Pelodiscus sinensis: one gene and its partner. The protein of the gene in region 2 interacts with the protein of the main gene of each other region in a pairwise test. Links are inferred from orthologs where the notes say so. Each region holds a gene or a part of one and is shown on either strand. Other genes may lie near its edges.

Evidence for each region. The genes of interacting proteins can lie anywhere in the genome.
Region 1: the proteins of ATF4 (region 2) and TRIB3 interact in binary tests that used the Homo sapiens proteins (3 or more experiments, as listed by UniProt). The link is inferred for Pelodiscus sinensis from reciprocal best matches to the Homo sapiens genes ATF4 and TRIB3.

The regions. Positions count from the first base shown.
Region 1 is NC_134728.1:2,015,944-2,023,052, forward strand, and holds the start of TRIB3 (tribbles homolog 3), read left to right. Parts: upstream 1-4,107; 5' UTR 4,108-4,584; intron 4,585-6,412; coding exon 6,413-6,697; intron 6,698-7,109. UniProt on the Homo sapiens protein: Inactive protein kinase which acts as a regulator of the integrated stress response (ISR), a process for adaptation to various stress. Inhibits the transcriptional activity of DDIT3/CHOP and is involved in DDIT3/CHOP-dependent cell death during ER stress.
Region 2 is NC_134711.1:90,961,910-90,969,449, reverse strand, and holds the start of ATF4 (cyclic AMP-dependent transcription factor ATF-4), read left to right. Parts: upstream 1-4,524; 5' UTR 4,525-4,719; intron 4,720-5,796; 5' UTR 5,797-5,891; coding exon 5,892-6,108; intron 6,109-6,836; coding exon 6,837-7,540. UniProt on the Homo sapiens protein: Transcription factor that binds the cAMP response element (CRE) (consensus: 5'-GTGACGT[AC][AG]-3') and displays two biological functions, as regulator of metabolic and redox processes under normal cellular conditions, and as master transcription factor during integrated stress response (ISR).

The sequences.
Region 1 (7,109 bases), on a different chromosome or scaffold from region 2:
GAAATTGTCAAAGGGTTGGCTGCCTGCAGAGGGTTTGCAGCCAGGGCCTGGGGTGCCCAACCCCCTGAGTCCGGGATGAGCTCAGCTCTGCCTAACCTGGCTGGCTGTTCATCAGCGCGTGTTCCAGGGAAAAAGTCCGGAAGGAAAAAGAGCCGCTCATCACCCCGAGCAGGATGGAGGCAGCGTTTCTCTGGAAGGAACTGCCTGGAACGGGAATGGCTCAAAGATCACGCTGCTCCTGTGTCAGGGAAGTGCTCAGGAAGGAGTGTCACAAACTTGGCAGAGCTTTGAGGATCCCCAAATGCACGGGGAGCCCCCTTGCTTTGCACCCCCTCCCCTATTCGTACAGCACTGCAGCCCCCCAAACCAGGAACACTGCACGGGGCTCCCTTGGGAACCGTTCTGCTGCTCTGTGGTTTTGGAAACGTGCTCTCTCCCCCCAGAGGCCCCTAGATCCTGCCGCCCAGGGAATAAAGGAACCGGCCTGAGAAATAACATGGGCTCTGCCTCCCACTGAGGGACGGTCAGAACGAAACCGACAAAGCTCCACTCTGCACAGGGATGGAAATGCTTCCTCGACTGCTCCCGCTGCAGGGCCGAAAGGGGCGGTCTTGCCAGCTCTCGCTGCCCTGGTCTACGCCAGGGAGTGATTTCGAAATAGCAAGCGGAGCGTCCACTCTGCCAAGCTTATTTCGAGACCGGGACTCCTGCTTTCCTCGGGGCAGAGCGCTTGTTTCGCAATGGCCCTGCGGCCGCACCACCGCCGCCCTTTCGAAATAACCACTCCCCAGAGTCACTGCAAGTAAGGGCTCCTCAGTGCTCCCAAGGCGCTAAGTCGAGGAGCGCGTGCACAGTAACGGAGCTGCCTCGGACTCATGTCGAGGCTCCCCCTGTGGTGGGGACAGGCTGGTTCGACGGGGTGATTTCGGGAGGGATTTTGAACGATTTGGAAATCATTTCCTCGCGGTGCCCTGCCCGCTGGGACTCAGTGAGCGCAGCAAACTCTTCCGGCTAGATCCCAACAGGCTTCCTGTGTCTGGCTATATCTAGACTGCAGGCTTCTTTCGAAAGAGGCTCTTTCGAAAGAGAGCGTCTAGACTGCACGGAGAAATTTCGAAAAAGCGGCTTGCTTTTTCGAAAGAAAGCATCCAGTGAGTCTGGATGCTCTCTTTTGAAGAAGCCTTATTTACATACAAGAGGAACTTTCGAAAGAAGGCGTTCTTCCTCGTGAAATGAGGTTTACCGCCATCGAAAGAAAAGCCGCGTTCTTTTGAATTAATTTCGAAAGAACGCGGCTTGAGTCTGGACGCAGGGGAAGTTTTTTCGAAAAAACCCCTGAGTCTGGACACAGCCTCTGTGTGGACACCGACCCACCGTGTTCTGCATGGAGCCCGCGTGGGCCGGCCAGCTCCGGGCCGGGGCAGGGTGCCTTGCCAAAAACTTGGCACGCTACAAAGAAAGGTCCTATCCTGGCTCATCTCCTAGGGGCAGGCAGAGCAGCCTGGGAGCACTTGCGGCCAGCCCCTCCCCGGAGCACCTCCCCTGGCAGGGCGCCTGGTCACAGACGTAACAGGCGTGCGATATGAAAGAGAAACCAGGCTGCTGCCGCAGGGGACGGCCGCCTCTCCTTCCGCCGATTCACTTTGCTCTTGCCTTGACCCCCGATGGAAACCAGGGCCCTGAGCGCTCCGGGCTCTTGAGAATCTCTCCCAACACAACTCTGGGCAAAAGCTGGGGGGCTTGCCCTGGCGTGCTGCCAGATTGCAAGCCGGGGCTGCCACGCCTAGAATCCCGCGTCCCCCCCGGGGCATCCGTGTTCAAGCCAGACGGATTCAGGCTGGAGCAGGCGCAGAGAAGGGCTCGCAGGACGGTCAGGGGATGGGGGGGGGGGGAGCTGCCCTCTGAGCAGAGACGAGAGAGCTTGGCTTGATTCGCCTAGCAGGGGATCTGCCGGCCCCCTACAGCTACATCGGGGCTACCCCCCAGGAGGAAGGGCCACGTTGGCAGAAGAACAACCAGGCTCAACTGGCCAGGAGCAAATTGTAGCCACCGATGTCCTAATGTAGTGCCAGAAACGTGGGTGGATTTGCTCCAGTTGGCCGGCTCGCCGTGGGGCCAGCACAGCTAACAGGAGAGAGTAGGATCCGTGATGCTGGCTGGGAGCGAAACTCAGGGCTCCGGTGGGTTTGCCCCACGGCAATGGAAAGTCATTAGAAAGGGAAATTAGACGGGGGCGGGGCAGAATATGCCTGCTCTGACTCACCTGCAGCTGCTCTGTGCAGCTCCAGGTGGCCTTTGGAGTCAGGCCTCCGGGTCACCTTATTCTCAGCCTGCTTCTCAGTATAACACCCCGGTGCACACCCGTCACTCATCATGTGAAGAAGTGGGCTGTGCCCACAAAATGCACGATGCTGTCGATATTCTTTGTGAGTGTCGGAGCCCTACTCTGCACCGGGGAGTTAGTCCAACATAACCCCCCTTCTCTCGAAATAGCAAGCGGCGCGTCCGCATGGCCAAGCCTGTGGTTTCAAAATAAGGGGCTGGTTATTTCAAAATCATATCTCCTGCTTTCCTCCTGCTAATTTTGAACTAGTTCTTTCGACAGAGGGGCCGTGTGGGCGCGCCGCCGCCGCTCTTTCGAAATGACGACTCCCCCGAGCGGTTCGAAGCGATGACGCGCCAGTCGTGCTGGGGCTCGAAGGCGAGGCAGCGCGTCCACTTAAGGGAGCCTGCCTCCGACGCATTTCGTGGCTTCCCTGCCGGGTGGACACGCTAGTTCGAAAGAGTTATTTTGGGAGTTATTCCTTTGAAATGATTTCCTAGTGTAGACATGCCCCATGGGGCTACAGTGCCACTCGTCCTTCTTTACGTTATTTTAAGTTACAGGCTCTGCCAGCTGCCCCTCTGAGACCCGTCCCTGGTTCACGTGGGGGCTGGTGTGCGTGGCCTGTCACACATGGTGACAGGCAGGGTGAGTAGGGGTGCAGGGCGGTCACAGGCTGGCGCACTCCCGCCAGGGGCTCAAGACCACTGGCCAGGTGACCGTTGCAGACTCGCAGGCTCCATTTTGGGCTAGTGATTGGCACGGCAGCGAGGGGGGCGCAATCAGGCTAATCCAAAGTGAACCAGGAGACCTTGCAGGCACCATCTGCATGCACCAGGACGTGTGAGCGCCCGCGGCTGCCTCACACGGTCCCTGCCCTCACCGCCCTCTGCTTTGGGAGATCCGTGGGCAGGGCCGACGTATCCATTAGGCCATTCGGCACAGTGCCTAGGGCCCACGATGCTTTTAGGGGCCCACGAAAATGTTTTAATTTCTGTCTCAAATCAGAAGGAAAAAACTGAACTTTTAGGGTGGAAGAAAATGTTTTAATTTTTTTCTCACATCAGAAAAAAAGGAAACTTTTAGGGCCCACGAAAATCTCTTACATTTTGCCTAAAACAGAAAAGAAATAAAATGTTGACGTATTTAAAGTGAGATAAAAAATCATTTTTAGTATTGATATTATTATGGTGGGAGGGGCCCACGAAGACAAAAGTGCCTAGGGCCCACGAAAGTCATAATGCGGCCCTGATCCGGGGCGGGGCTGGCCCGCAACATTTTGGCACCTGGCCCACATGCTGGCACCGAGGCGGGGAGCTCAAATGACGTCCCCTGGCCCCCTCGCTTGGTCTCAATTGCGCCTCCTTCCTGTTCTGCTCCCCTCGTGGGGGCTCTCCTGCCTACCTCTGCGCCAGCAGCGGACACAATTTTCTACACTCTGGGTCCAAGTGGCGCCCCCCACAATCTGGCACCGCCTCGGTTCGCTCCATGGCGAGGCCGGCGTGTGCCGGGGGGCAGAGACCAGTCCGCCCGGCTGCCTCGCCAACAGCAGCAGGAGGCTGGGCAAGAGGGACTCGGAGCGGGGGAGGGGAGCGTTCACACTTAGACTCGCTCTGCACAGGGGCCGGTCCCAGTGCAGGGGGAGGGGCAGCTCTGGGGGCACCGTGTGGGTCACTAGGCGGCTGATCTGCCACATGAAGGGCAGGGCTCTGCCTCTCCCTTCCCCCCGCACAGAGGTTTGGCTCTGGGCTTGCTGTGCCAGATCCCCAAAGGCAGGCCGGGCAGGGGGGGGGTCCAAGCCCAGCAGCCGGCCGGGGAGGGGGGCAGTGCCCGTGTAACCCTGCTGTAATCCGGCGGCGGGTCTGAGTAATCCGGCGCGGCGTGGCGCAGTTCCGCTCGGCCGGGGTATTGCAAGCGCCCAGCGCCCGGTGTCATCATGGAAGGGAAAGCAAAGGGGCGGGCCTCGGGCGGGGATGTTGCAATCCGGAGTGAGTTCGGCATCAGCCGGCGCGGGAGAGGGCAGCCGGAGGGAGAGGAGAGCGGCAGGAAGATCGGCCCCGGCTGACGTGCCAGCCTGCCCCGGCGCCAGCCCCGCGCGTAAAGCCGCGGAGCCCGGCGGCAGCCCCCCGGCCGGGGCCAGGACCCCCGGCGCAGAGCCGCCCGGGACCATGGAGAACCGGGGCGTCTGAGACTCCGGGGGCAGGACCCTCCGGGCTCCCCGGACCCGGCCTGCGGCGGGATCGCTCCGTCCCCGCCCGAAGGTACAAAGCGGGGCGCGGGGCGCGGGGCGCGCTCGGGTTCCAGCCCGACTCGGGCGCTGCGGGGCTGGGGCGGAGTCGCCCTGGCCGGCCGGGATCGGAGCCGGCAGGGCCGGGCGGGCGCTGGAGGCTGCAGGGTCCGGGGAGCGGGCAGCGCGCACGGGTAGGAGCGGGGGGGGTCTGGCGGGGAAGGGCCCCCCATTGCCAGCCGGTGCCGGGAACGGTAACTAGGCGGCAGCCGGGCACTGCCCAGCGGGACGGGGGAGCGATCGGCGCCAGAGAGCAGGCAGGGCTCGGTGCAGGCAGCGGGGGGCTCACGGCTGGGGGGGCGCCCCCCATCGCCAGACACCCATTCACCGCTATTGTTACACCGCCAGACCCCCTCCCTGTCATGCGCTGACACACACCGGGACTCACCCCCCTCCCTGGCCAAACCCCCCCCCCCCGCACCCCTAGGCCGAGAGACACTGGCATGTGCCCCCTCCCATCACTGTGTTACATGGTGACACACCCCCATGGCGCTGGCACACCCGTGCACTCACCACGGGGACCCTGTGAGACACACGTGCGCTCACTGTTGTGACACAAGGGAGACACACGGCCATGACACACTCTCCCCATTATTACACTGTGAGGCAGTGTCATTACATCAGCAGCTGTGAATGCGCGACATCCTCAGACATGCCCCCCGGCGCAGCCTGGCTGGAGCCTTTGCCACTCTGGACAGGATGGCAGGGGGTGGCCGGTCGCTCCCCCGCGCAGACACTTCGCCGCTGGCTGGGGAGACACTCGCGCTTAGCGTAGGCCTGTCTTCCAGTCGGGGTTGTCTCTGTAGTTCATGAGGCCTGAGTTCCTCGCTCTGGGTGCCACAGACCTGCCCAGGGAGCAGAAGCATCTGATCAAAACTGAATGTTTAAGACTGTAAAATTGGAAATCAAGAGCTAAATATAGCACATCTGGAGAGTTCTCCGCAAACATCCACTCCATGTGCAGCAGCTGGCAAAAGAGCAAACAATGTTGGGAATCATTCGAAAGGGGATAGAGAATAGGACAGAATATCTCCTTGCCTCTGTATAAATCCATGGTAGCCCACATCTGGGAAAGGTTCAGAAAAGGGCAACAGAAATGATGCAGGGTTTGGAATGGCTGCCATTTGAGGGGAGATTAAAAAGACTGGGACTTTTCAGCTCAGAAAAGAGGAGGCTAAGGGGGGAGAGGACAGAGGTCTAATAAAATCATGACCGGTGTGGAGAGAGAGACTAAGGACAAGTTATTTACTTGTTCCCATAAGAACTAGAGGTCAACCATTGATATGAATAGGTAGCATGTTTAAAGCAAACAAAAGGAAGTTTTTCTTCATGCAGCACACAACCTGTGGAACTCCTCGCCAGAGGAGGTTGTGAAGACCAGGACTTGAACAGGGTTCAAAAAAGAGCTAGATAAATTCATGGAGGTTAGGTCCATCAATGGCTATTAGCCAGGCTGGATAGGAATGGTGTCCTTAACCTGTTTGAGAGGCTGGAAATGGGTGTCAGGGGAGGGATCACTGGATTATTCCCTGTTCTGTTCCCTCCCCTGGGGCCACTGGGCAGACAGGACACTGGTCTGGATGGGTCATTGGTCTGACCCAGCCTGGCTGTGTACGTATGTTCCCATGGCACATGGCCACTCCACCCAGGTCTCCCTGGCCAGGCGCTAGGTGCTCTCAGCACGCTGGGAAAGAGCTGTGCTCCTAGAGCGTCGTGGGGGCGGCACAGAGCAGGGGCCTCCCAGGTTCTCTCTCTAAGTGGCTAGCTTTGCGCTGCAACCGCTTCATCTTCTTGTGCTGCAGATGAGCCTGAACGTCCAGGTGATCCCTGCGGTGTCTCCGCTGAGGAAGAAGCGGCTGGACTTCGAGGACCCCCCTGATTCGGAGGCCCCGAAGCCCAAGCGCCCCCGGTTGAGTCCGGTGTCAGGGCTCACGCCATGCCTGCAGCCCCTCGCCCGGACCCCGTGTGCTGCGGACCAGGACTCCAGAGTCCTGCAGATTGGCCCGTACATCCTTCTGGAGCCCCAGGACGGGGGCCGCTCCTACAGGGCGGTGCACAGGCCCACGGAGACGGAGTACAGCTGCAAGGTACAGTGGGGTGATGGGGCCTGGCCTTGCTCCCCCGGAGCAGGACATCGGAGCCTGACGCTACGGAGAGTACGGGCCGGGGGGCAGGCTGTGGGATCCGGGTCGTTTTGGGGGAATGCTGCTGAGAGCCCCCCGGGGACTCCTGCACAGCAGTTTGCCCTGCACCAGCCTCCCGGGCAACAGCCCGTTTTGACTGGCAAAGGGGGCTAGTGGCCCTCGGGGGCCCCACGGGCTCTGGCTGCAGAGAATGGCATTGGCAAAGGGGCGGCCACAGCTGTCCCTGCCCCCCCCCCCCAGTATCAGCTCCACCTTCCAACCTGTGGGCCATGGGAAAGGACTGGGCGTCTGCGAGCGGCCCGGATGGGGAGACGCCAGACCCATCCCTCCCTTTGCCTTGCTCTGCCTGAGCAGT
Region 2 (7,540 bases):
CAGATTCGGCCCGCGGAGGCTCTTTTGCCCACCCCAGTGTAATTGACATTTCCAATTTCAAAAGAAGCTATGCAATTGATGTAGCTCAATTTGCGTAGCTTATTTTGTGTTAAACCCTGCTGTATATACGCATCGTAAGGAATCTGTTTTGAGGTTTTTGAGTTAATGATGAGAAAAGACTCTTGCATTTTCCAGCTTGTTTTCTCCCATCACTGAAAAACAACCAAAGGATTTTTACTTTAAGGGAAAAAAAATCTTTTTTTCTAATAAGAATTACCTTCACAAAGGAGATACATTCAGCAAGTTCTGTGCAAAGGCAAAAGGGTGCTTTAACGTGGAACTCTGTATAACTAATTTCTACAAGCATCTAATAAAAAGCATCTATTATAGTCATCTAGGTAACTAGGAAATAATCTTGAAGTTAACCAATGGCTGTTTTTTGGAGTTTTGAGAATGTATTTTTGTGGGGGGTTTTGGGTGGGGGAAGTGTGAAGAGATGGAAGATGTCTCTCTGGAACCTTTCACTGTGCTAATTTCATGCACAAAGAAAGCTAAGTAGATGAAAAACCGAAACAGGATAATCCGGGTGAAGTTCCTTGTTGCGCATTTCATATTTGCTTATGTGAGTCTGGCTCTGCCGTACAGTGACTCCTTTCATGAAAATCCTTAATTAGCTTTTCAAGAGGGAGGGTAGGGTGTGTATATACTTTCCACTGATTTGGCTATAAAGACAGCATTACTTAAAATGGGGAAGGGGGTGGATCAAGGTTAAGGGATGTGAAAGCCTTCCCGTCAGCCAATCCCCATGCTACACTGATATCCACCCCCCTGCCCCTCCAATCCCTTGTTTGGCTTCTTTGTTTCACTGCCTCCCCTCCATTCTGTACTGAAACTCAGTGAGCTCCTTGATGCATTTTTTTTTCAGACCAGTCGTCATGGTTCACTGAGCTGCTATTGTGATGTCTTCTGAGATGTAGGGCAGTTTCCCCTCCAATGACTCAAAATGTTATTTTGCTCTTAAAAGAAAAAAAAATACCTTGTATACGTGGTACATTTCCACTCAGCAAAGCGGTTCCTATTGTGCATTTGGAGGATTTTGTGCTGACTTCAGTGATGATAAGGTTGCATTGCTTTCTTGCTCTTTTGCTGGCTTTGCAGGGCTGTGTGGGGGAGCAGGCTGGACACAATTTGTCCTTGAGGATTATCGCTAAAATTGTTTACTAGGTTCCAGTAAGTTACAGCTGTGCAAACCCAATGAAGGCCATGAGCTTCCACGAGTGTTCCTAAAGTCATAACTGGAAGACAATAGGGTTGCTGCCAGAAGTAGCTGAAAGCACAAGTTTGTTGTGCAAAACCTTTATTGCTGATTATGATTATACGAAGCTGCTGCTGTTGATCTTCCAGAGTTCGAATTAGCAGTGTATTTAAGATAGTTAATTCGAAGTGAGAGGGGCACTCCGGTTGATGCTGCCAACCCTGCTTTCACAAGGAGTAAGGGAAGTCGAAGGAAGAGTGTTCTTCCTTTGACTTCCTGCAGTGTAGAAAGCGCCAAAAATTGAGTTAAGGTACTTTGACTTCAGCTACGCAATTAATGTAGCTGAAGTTGTGTATCTTAACTTGTCCTGTAGTGTAGACAAACCCCCAGAGTCCAAACTGTATAGCAGGGATTGACATCCTATGGCACGTATGCCACTTATGGCATGTGAGCCGATTTTAAGCAGCATGAGGGAGGGAGCTCAGCCCTATCGCCTCCTTCCCCGCTGCTACTGTGGCGCACACAGTTGGGGCCAGCCCTGGAGGCTGGAGGCAGTGGGTCCTCTGGGGCTGGCTCCTGTCTGTGGTGGAAGCGTCAGTGGGGCCTGCAGGTTGGCTCAGGACAGCATGGTTGCAGCAGTTGTCAAGTAAGTGTCCCTCCTTATGCCCAAACCCCCACATCCCAATCCCCCTCACTCACCTCCCCCCACCAAGACCCTACACTTCCAGCTTGCTCCAATGCCCTCACTTGTTCCTGCATCCTCTCTCCTAGCTAGACACTACACCCCTATCTTGCTCCTGCACCCTCCCTCCTGGCCTGGCCAGACACATAGCCCCACCCTGCTCCTGTATCCACCATTGCTCCTGTACGCTCTCTCTGGCCACACACTGCACCCTCCCTTGTCCCTGCTCTCTCCACCAGCCGACATCCTACTCCCAGCCTGCTTCTGCACCCCACCTCCCAACTTTTCCCCCTTCTGCACCCCATACCTATCCTACTTGCTGGCAACTCTGTCTCACACACTAAACCCCTCATTTTTGTCCCTACTCCAGAACCTAAGGGGGTTCATAAAATCCTCCAATTCCAGAATGCCAGAAAAGTAAATCTGGCCTACAGGAAACCCTGAACCTCAGTCCTCCCTGTTCCTTCCCCTTGCCCTGTGAGGTTGGAGCACTAGGGAGTGAGGTGTTTCAGTTGGGGGCTATATCAGTGAGGGTTAGTAGGGTTTTTTTGCTTCTCACTGTGTGGTCTCCAACTGGTTTTTCTGTGGGTCAGTGGCTCCCCAACTCAAAAAAGGTTCCCTATCCCTGCCATAAACAAAGAAAACATTGAAACCTTTTGTGTTGGACATAATATTTTACTTTAAATAAGGTGAAGTTTAATAAACTAACATGAGAAAGTTAAATGCTTAATCTGTTTCATAATTTAAATTGAACTGTTCTCCCTAGCTGCAGCTGGTTCAGAAAATATGGTCACCGTACCCAGATCAGTGAATAAGTTAAATCTGGCATATCACTTCTGAAAGGTTGCTGACCCCTGCTGTACTGTATGGTTAGCAATATGGAAAACATGTAATTATATCTGAATGCACCTCAAACAGCAAGGGGCGGGGGGCAACAGAAGAGGGGACAAAGCTAGCATGGCAGAGAGAGGGGTCATAGAAGAACAGGTTGCCCTAGTGGCAGGACTGGTAGAGCAAGGAAATGGGCAACAGGGGTGGGGATGAAGGGAAGTGAGAGACAGTTAGGGGCAGGATGGCACAGCAGGGAGGGGAAAGTGAGGAGCAGTCCTGGCACAGGGAGAGAAGTGCTGTGGGGGAGTAAGAAGTGGTGGGGAGGGGAGGAGAAAGCTGGCACAGCAGCCCAAGAGCAGGGAAAGTGGGGACAGAGTTGGCACAGATAGGGTTGCCAGGTGTCCGGTTTTGAACCAGACAGTCCGGTTTTTGAGCTTTCTGTCCGGGAAACAAATTGAGAAAATACCGGACATATAAATGTCTGGTATTTTCTAATTAAGTAAGTTTTATTATCATGATTATCAGTACATAGTTGCGTACTGCGTGAGCGTGTGTACTCACCAGGCAGTATACAATTACACAATAGAGAGGAGGGGGGCGGGGCCGGGATGGAAGGCCAGGACTGTGTGAGGGATGGGCTGCACCCCAGGATCTATGTTTGCCTGGACCAGCCCTGCTTCCTCCCAACCTCCTCTGGGCCAGCCCTGCTTCCTGCCAGCTGTGCCCTGCTCCCCTCCCAATCGGTCCCCACCGCCATCTGAGATCAAGTGTGTTGGGTATTTTTCTGAAAACATCTGGTAACCCTAGGCACAGAAAGGATGTGAGAAAATGGGGGTGGTGGTGAGGTCAGAGCTGGTACAGCAGGGGAGGCAGGGTGAGGAAGTCACAGGGCAAGACTAGCATGGCAGTGGAGCGCTGGGGGAGCAGCGGGTGCTGCAGCAAAGGGAGGGGCTGTGGAAGAGCAGGGGGCACAGGAGGGCAGGGCTGTGGGCAAAGAGGCAGCGGTGGGGGCTGGCGGCAGGGCACGAATGCAGGGGTGGGCGGGGAGAGGAGCTGTGGGGTGCAAGGCTGGCACTGTGGGGTAGGGGATGAGAAGGGGCACTGGGGGCAGGGCTAGCACTGGGGGGGATGAGGAAGTGGGGGGAGCACAGGGCTGGCGCTGCAGGGAGGGGGGCGAGCTGGGGGCAGGGCTGATTGGGCGGCTGACGTTGCAGCTAGCCGCCTCGCGCCCCCTCTCCCCCTTCAGCCGAGAAGCGCAGCTCCTGGGCCTGCAGTTTGCATCGCTCTCGCTCTAACCAATGGTAGCTCACAGCGCACGTGAATTTGCGGTATCAGCCAATCAATGCTTCACATGCCCACGTGGTGATCCCCGTGCCGCGCCGAGCCCACCGGTCTGTGCCAGACCAAAGGCGGGAACATCCCGCCCGCGCCAGTTTCTGCGTGGCGTGACGTCACTTCGCGTCAATGAGGCATAGAGTCAGGGTGATGGGTACACTGCACAATATAGCCCCCTGTAATTCTTCCGCCGAGTGTTGGCTGGTCCCCTCGGCAGTGCGCGTGACCACGCGAATCACCTCTCCCGTCCCCGGGAGTCTTCCGGCAATCGGGGGATGGCAGCGGGGCACAGAGCGCTGCGCACCACCCGGCATTTGTGAGCGCGCGCGGTGAATCTGGCGGAAGGATACAGCGAAACCGGATCTCATTTTGTGGGGGGGAGGGGAAAAGGGCGGTATATAAGCGGGGAACGCGCGAGCCACCCTCTCATTGTCTGTCTGTCTAGTGCGTCGTGTGTTCTGTGCGTGGGCGCAGGCGGGACCCGACCCGGAGCAGCCTTGCCGCCGCCGCCATGGCTTGGTAAGGGCGGCAGGGCCAGCAGCGGCATCGGCCAGTGCAGCGGGCGCAGCAACAGCAGCGGCGTCCACGGCCCCTCCCCGGCATCTGCAGCCATGGCGTGAGTATGGGGGCGGGGCGGGGCCCCCCATCGGCAACGATCTGGCCGAGTGGGAAAGGGGCGTAAGTGAGCCGGGAAGCCCTCCCCCCCCCATGTTAGCGAATGGCTTTTCCCGCGGGGGGTGGGCCGAAATGGTATAGCCCGTAGGGGAGTGAATTGGTCGCTCCCGAAGGAGGGACGCAGGGACGGGCCTTGGGACGCTCCATTGCGCCCTTCCCTCCCTGCCCTGCTAGGGAGCGCGCGAGTTGCTGGGAGGCACCATATGGAGTGGGATGGGGGGGGGGGGTGAATTCCTGTGATCCGCTTAGCCCGGGAGAACCCATTCCTTATGGAAGGGGGGGGCATTGCGGTGGATTGTCCCTCTCGCCCCTGCTCCTCGCGCTTGCGGGTCCCTGGGGCTCCGCTGTTGGGGGGCGGGGGGAGCGAGGCTGCAGCTGGGGGCTGCCCATTCAGCTTCCCGCTCCCCTGTGCGCCCTGGCGGGGTTTGTAGGCGAAGTCCCACGTTCTCCTCCGATGCCCGCTCTAGGGCTGCAGGGAGCGTTTCCCTTCCCGCTGTGTCGCGCCGCTTTGCTCCTGGTCCGCCTGCTAGATGCCAGGTGCTGCCCCCGTGGAAACGTGGCAGGATACACAAAATGGCCGCCTATTGCTAGGGCGGGGTGAGCGAGCACACAGGCAGGAACGCGAAATGGCTGCAGCAGCTGGCATAGGCGCAAGTCCAGCAATGCAGGCATGAGTCACAGCAGATGGGTGGGAGGGGCTCTCGCAGGAGATGTGACCATATTTGGTCATGAGGAAACTTGAGTGGCCCTTTCTGTTGAGACTTCACAAGCACCATCTTAGTTACCAGATGGCGCTATTGGGGTGAGAGTTCTGAGACCGGCAAGAAGGGTGCAAAATGCAAAAATGTGGCTCACAGGAGATCCTGAAAAGAGGGAAACCCCAGTTTGGTTAGTGTTCCATAACATGGTTTATATAGTTGAAAACTCCCTTTTTCCACCAGTAGAAAACATACAGTTTAAGTCAAATCACACAAATGGCTGTGCTATATAACAGATGATCTTCTGTCTTTAATTCCAGGTTTTTCAAAGCACCTCACAGCAGCATTGCTGTAATTGACAAAGACACCTACTCATCTACATTCTTTGAGCAAAAAGCATTAACATTTGACCAAGATGAGCCTCTTGAACACGGATATGCTGTTGGGGGGTTTAAAGTCCCCCTTCAGCCAGTGGTGTTTGGTGGCTGAGGAAAGTCTGGGACTTCTAGATGACTACCTGGAGGTGGCCAAGCCCCTCAGTTCGCATGGGTTCTCCAGCGACAAGGCTAAGGCAGTCTCCTCCAATTGGCTGGCTGAGGATAGTTTGGGCAAAACCACAGATGACAGCCAGGGTAAGGCATTACTTTATTCTCACAGGATTATAGTGTTCAATTAGCAAGTGTTTGCATATCTCATCATTCATTGATGTTGATCAGTGAGCTATTTAAATGGATGAAAAGCAGTGTATTGAGAATCAAGAGCATCTCCATCCCTGTTCCGTATGTGGCTCAAAAGGCTATTCTTTGGGGAAGGAGCCTACAACATGCGAATGTGTTGCTTTCAGGTAGCTCTTAAAATCTTTCCAATTCTATAGAGCTTGAAGGAACCAGAGAAATGGCACGTTACAAATCACTATCAGGAATATTTTGTCCTTTTTTAGTAAAGCTCTGCAACCCACTCCACAATAAATATCAGGTGGGGAAAACAACCACACCAGCTTGGAGTCAGGTTGATTCAGCATCTTGGTCCAATCGGATATCTCATTGCTGTGGAGTGTGCACAAAGGATAGGAGTGGAGCTGCCAAACTTCTGATTTTTCTGTAACCCCGTAAGGAGGGGAAAAGAGTGAAGCTGAGCTGGGGTTAGGACCCTTTTGGATCAGGTGGGTTTGGGTCCAGTCTGGGTCAAGCTTAATTAATCTGGAGCAGACATCTATTGTTTAGAACATATGATTAGATTTGTCTATCAGAGAAATGAATGGAGAAAAAATCCACAATATAGCATGCAGTTTTTTCAGTAGCCTTTTGAATTGATTGTGTGACTGCTGTACTCGTATGGTAATTGTTTCCCCATGTTGCAGAGGATGCCTTCTCTGGCATGGATTGGATGGTGGAGAAGATGGATCTGAAGGAGTTCGACTTTGATGCCCTGTTAGGAATGGATGACTTGGAAACCACCGTCTCTCCAGATGAGCTCATGGCCACGTTGGAAGACACGTGTGATCTATTAGACCCTCCTACCCAGGAAATTCCCAACAAAGAACCTTCACTGATAACTGACCCAATCATTCATCACCCTGAATCTCCAATTGGAGTAGATCAGGTGGCCTCACTTGCCCCCCTTCTGCCTCTTCACCTCTCTCCAGAGTCCTTGACTTCTACTCCAGACCATTCATTTAGTTTAGATCTAGGTAGTGAAGTTGATGTACTGGAAGGAGACAAAAAAGCAGAAGCCACCACATTCGTGGTGGTGGTGATCCCCAAGTTTGAGAAAGAGGAGGAAGTACATTCAGATAATGATAGTGGAATATGTATGAGCCCAGAGTCTTATCTGGGGACACCCCAACACAGTCCAGTCACCTCTGTAGAATCGTTCAATGACAGCCAGTTTCCTGCAGACCCCATTTGTGGTTCTATGCGGCCCAAACCATATGATCATCCTGTAGAGAAAGTAGTGTTGGCAAAGGTGAAGGGAGAAAAAAGGGTTGATAAGAAATTGAAGAAAATGGAGCAGAATAAGACAGCTGCTACACGTTATCGGCAGAAGAAAAGAGCAGAACAGGAG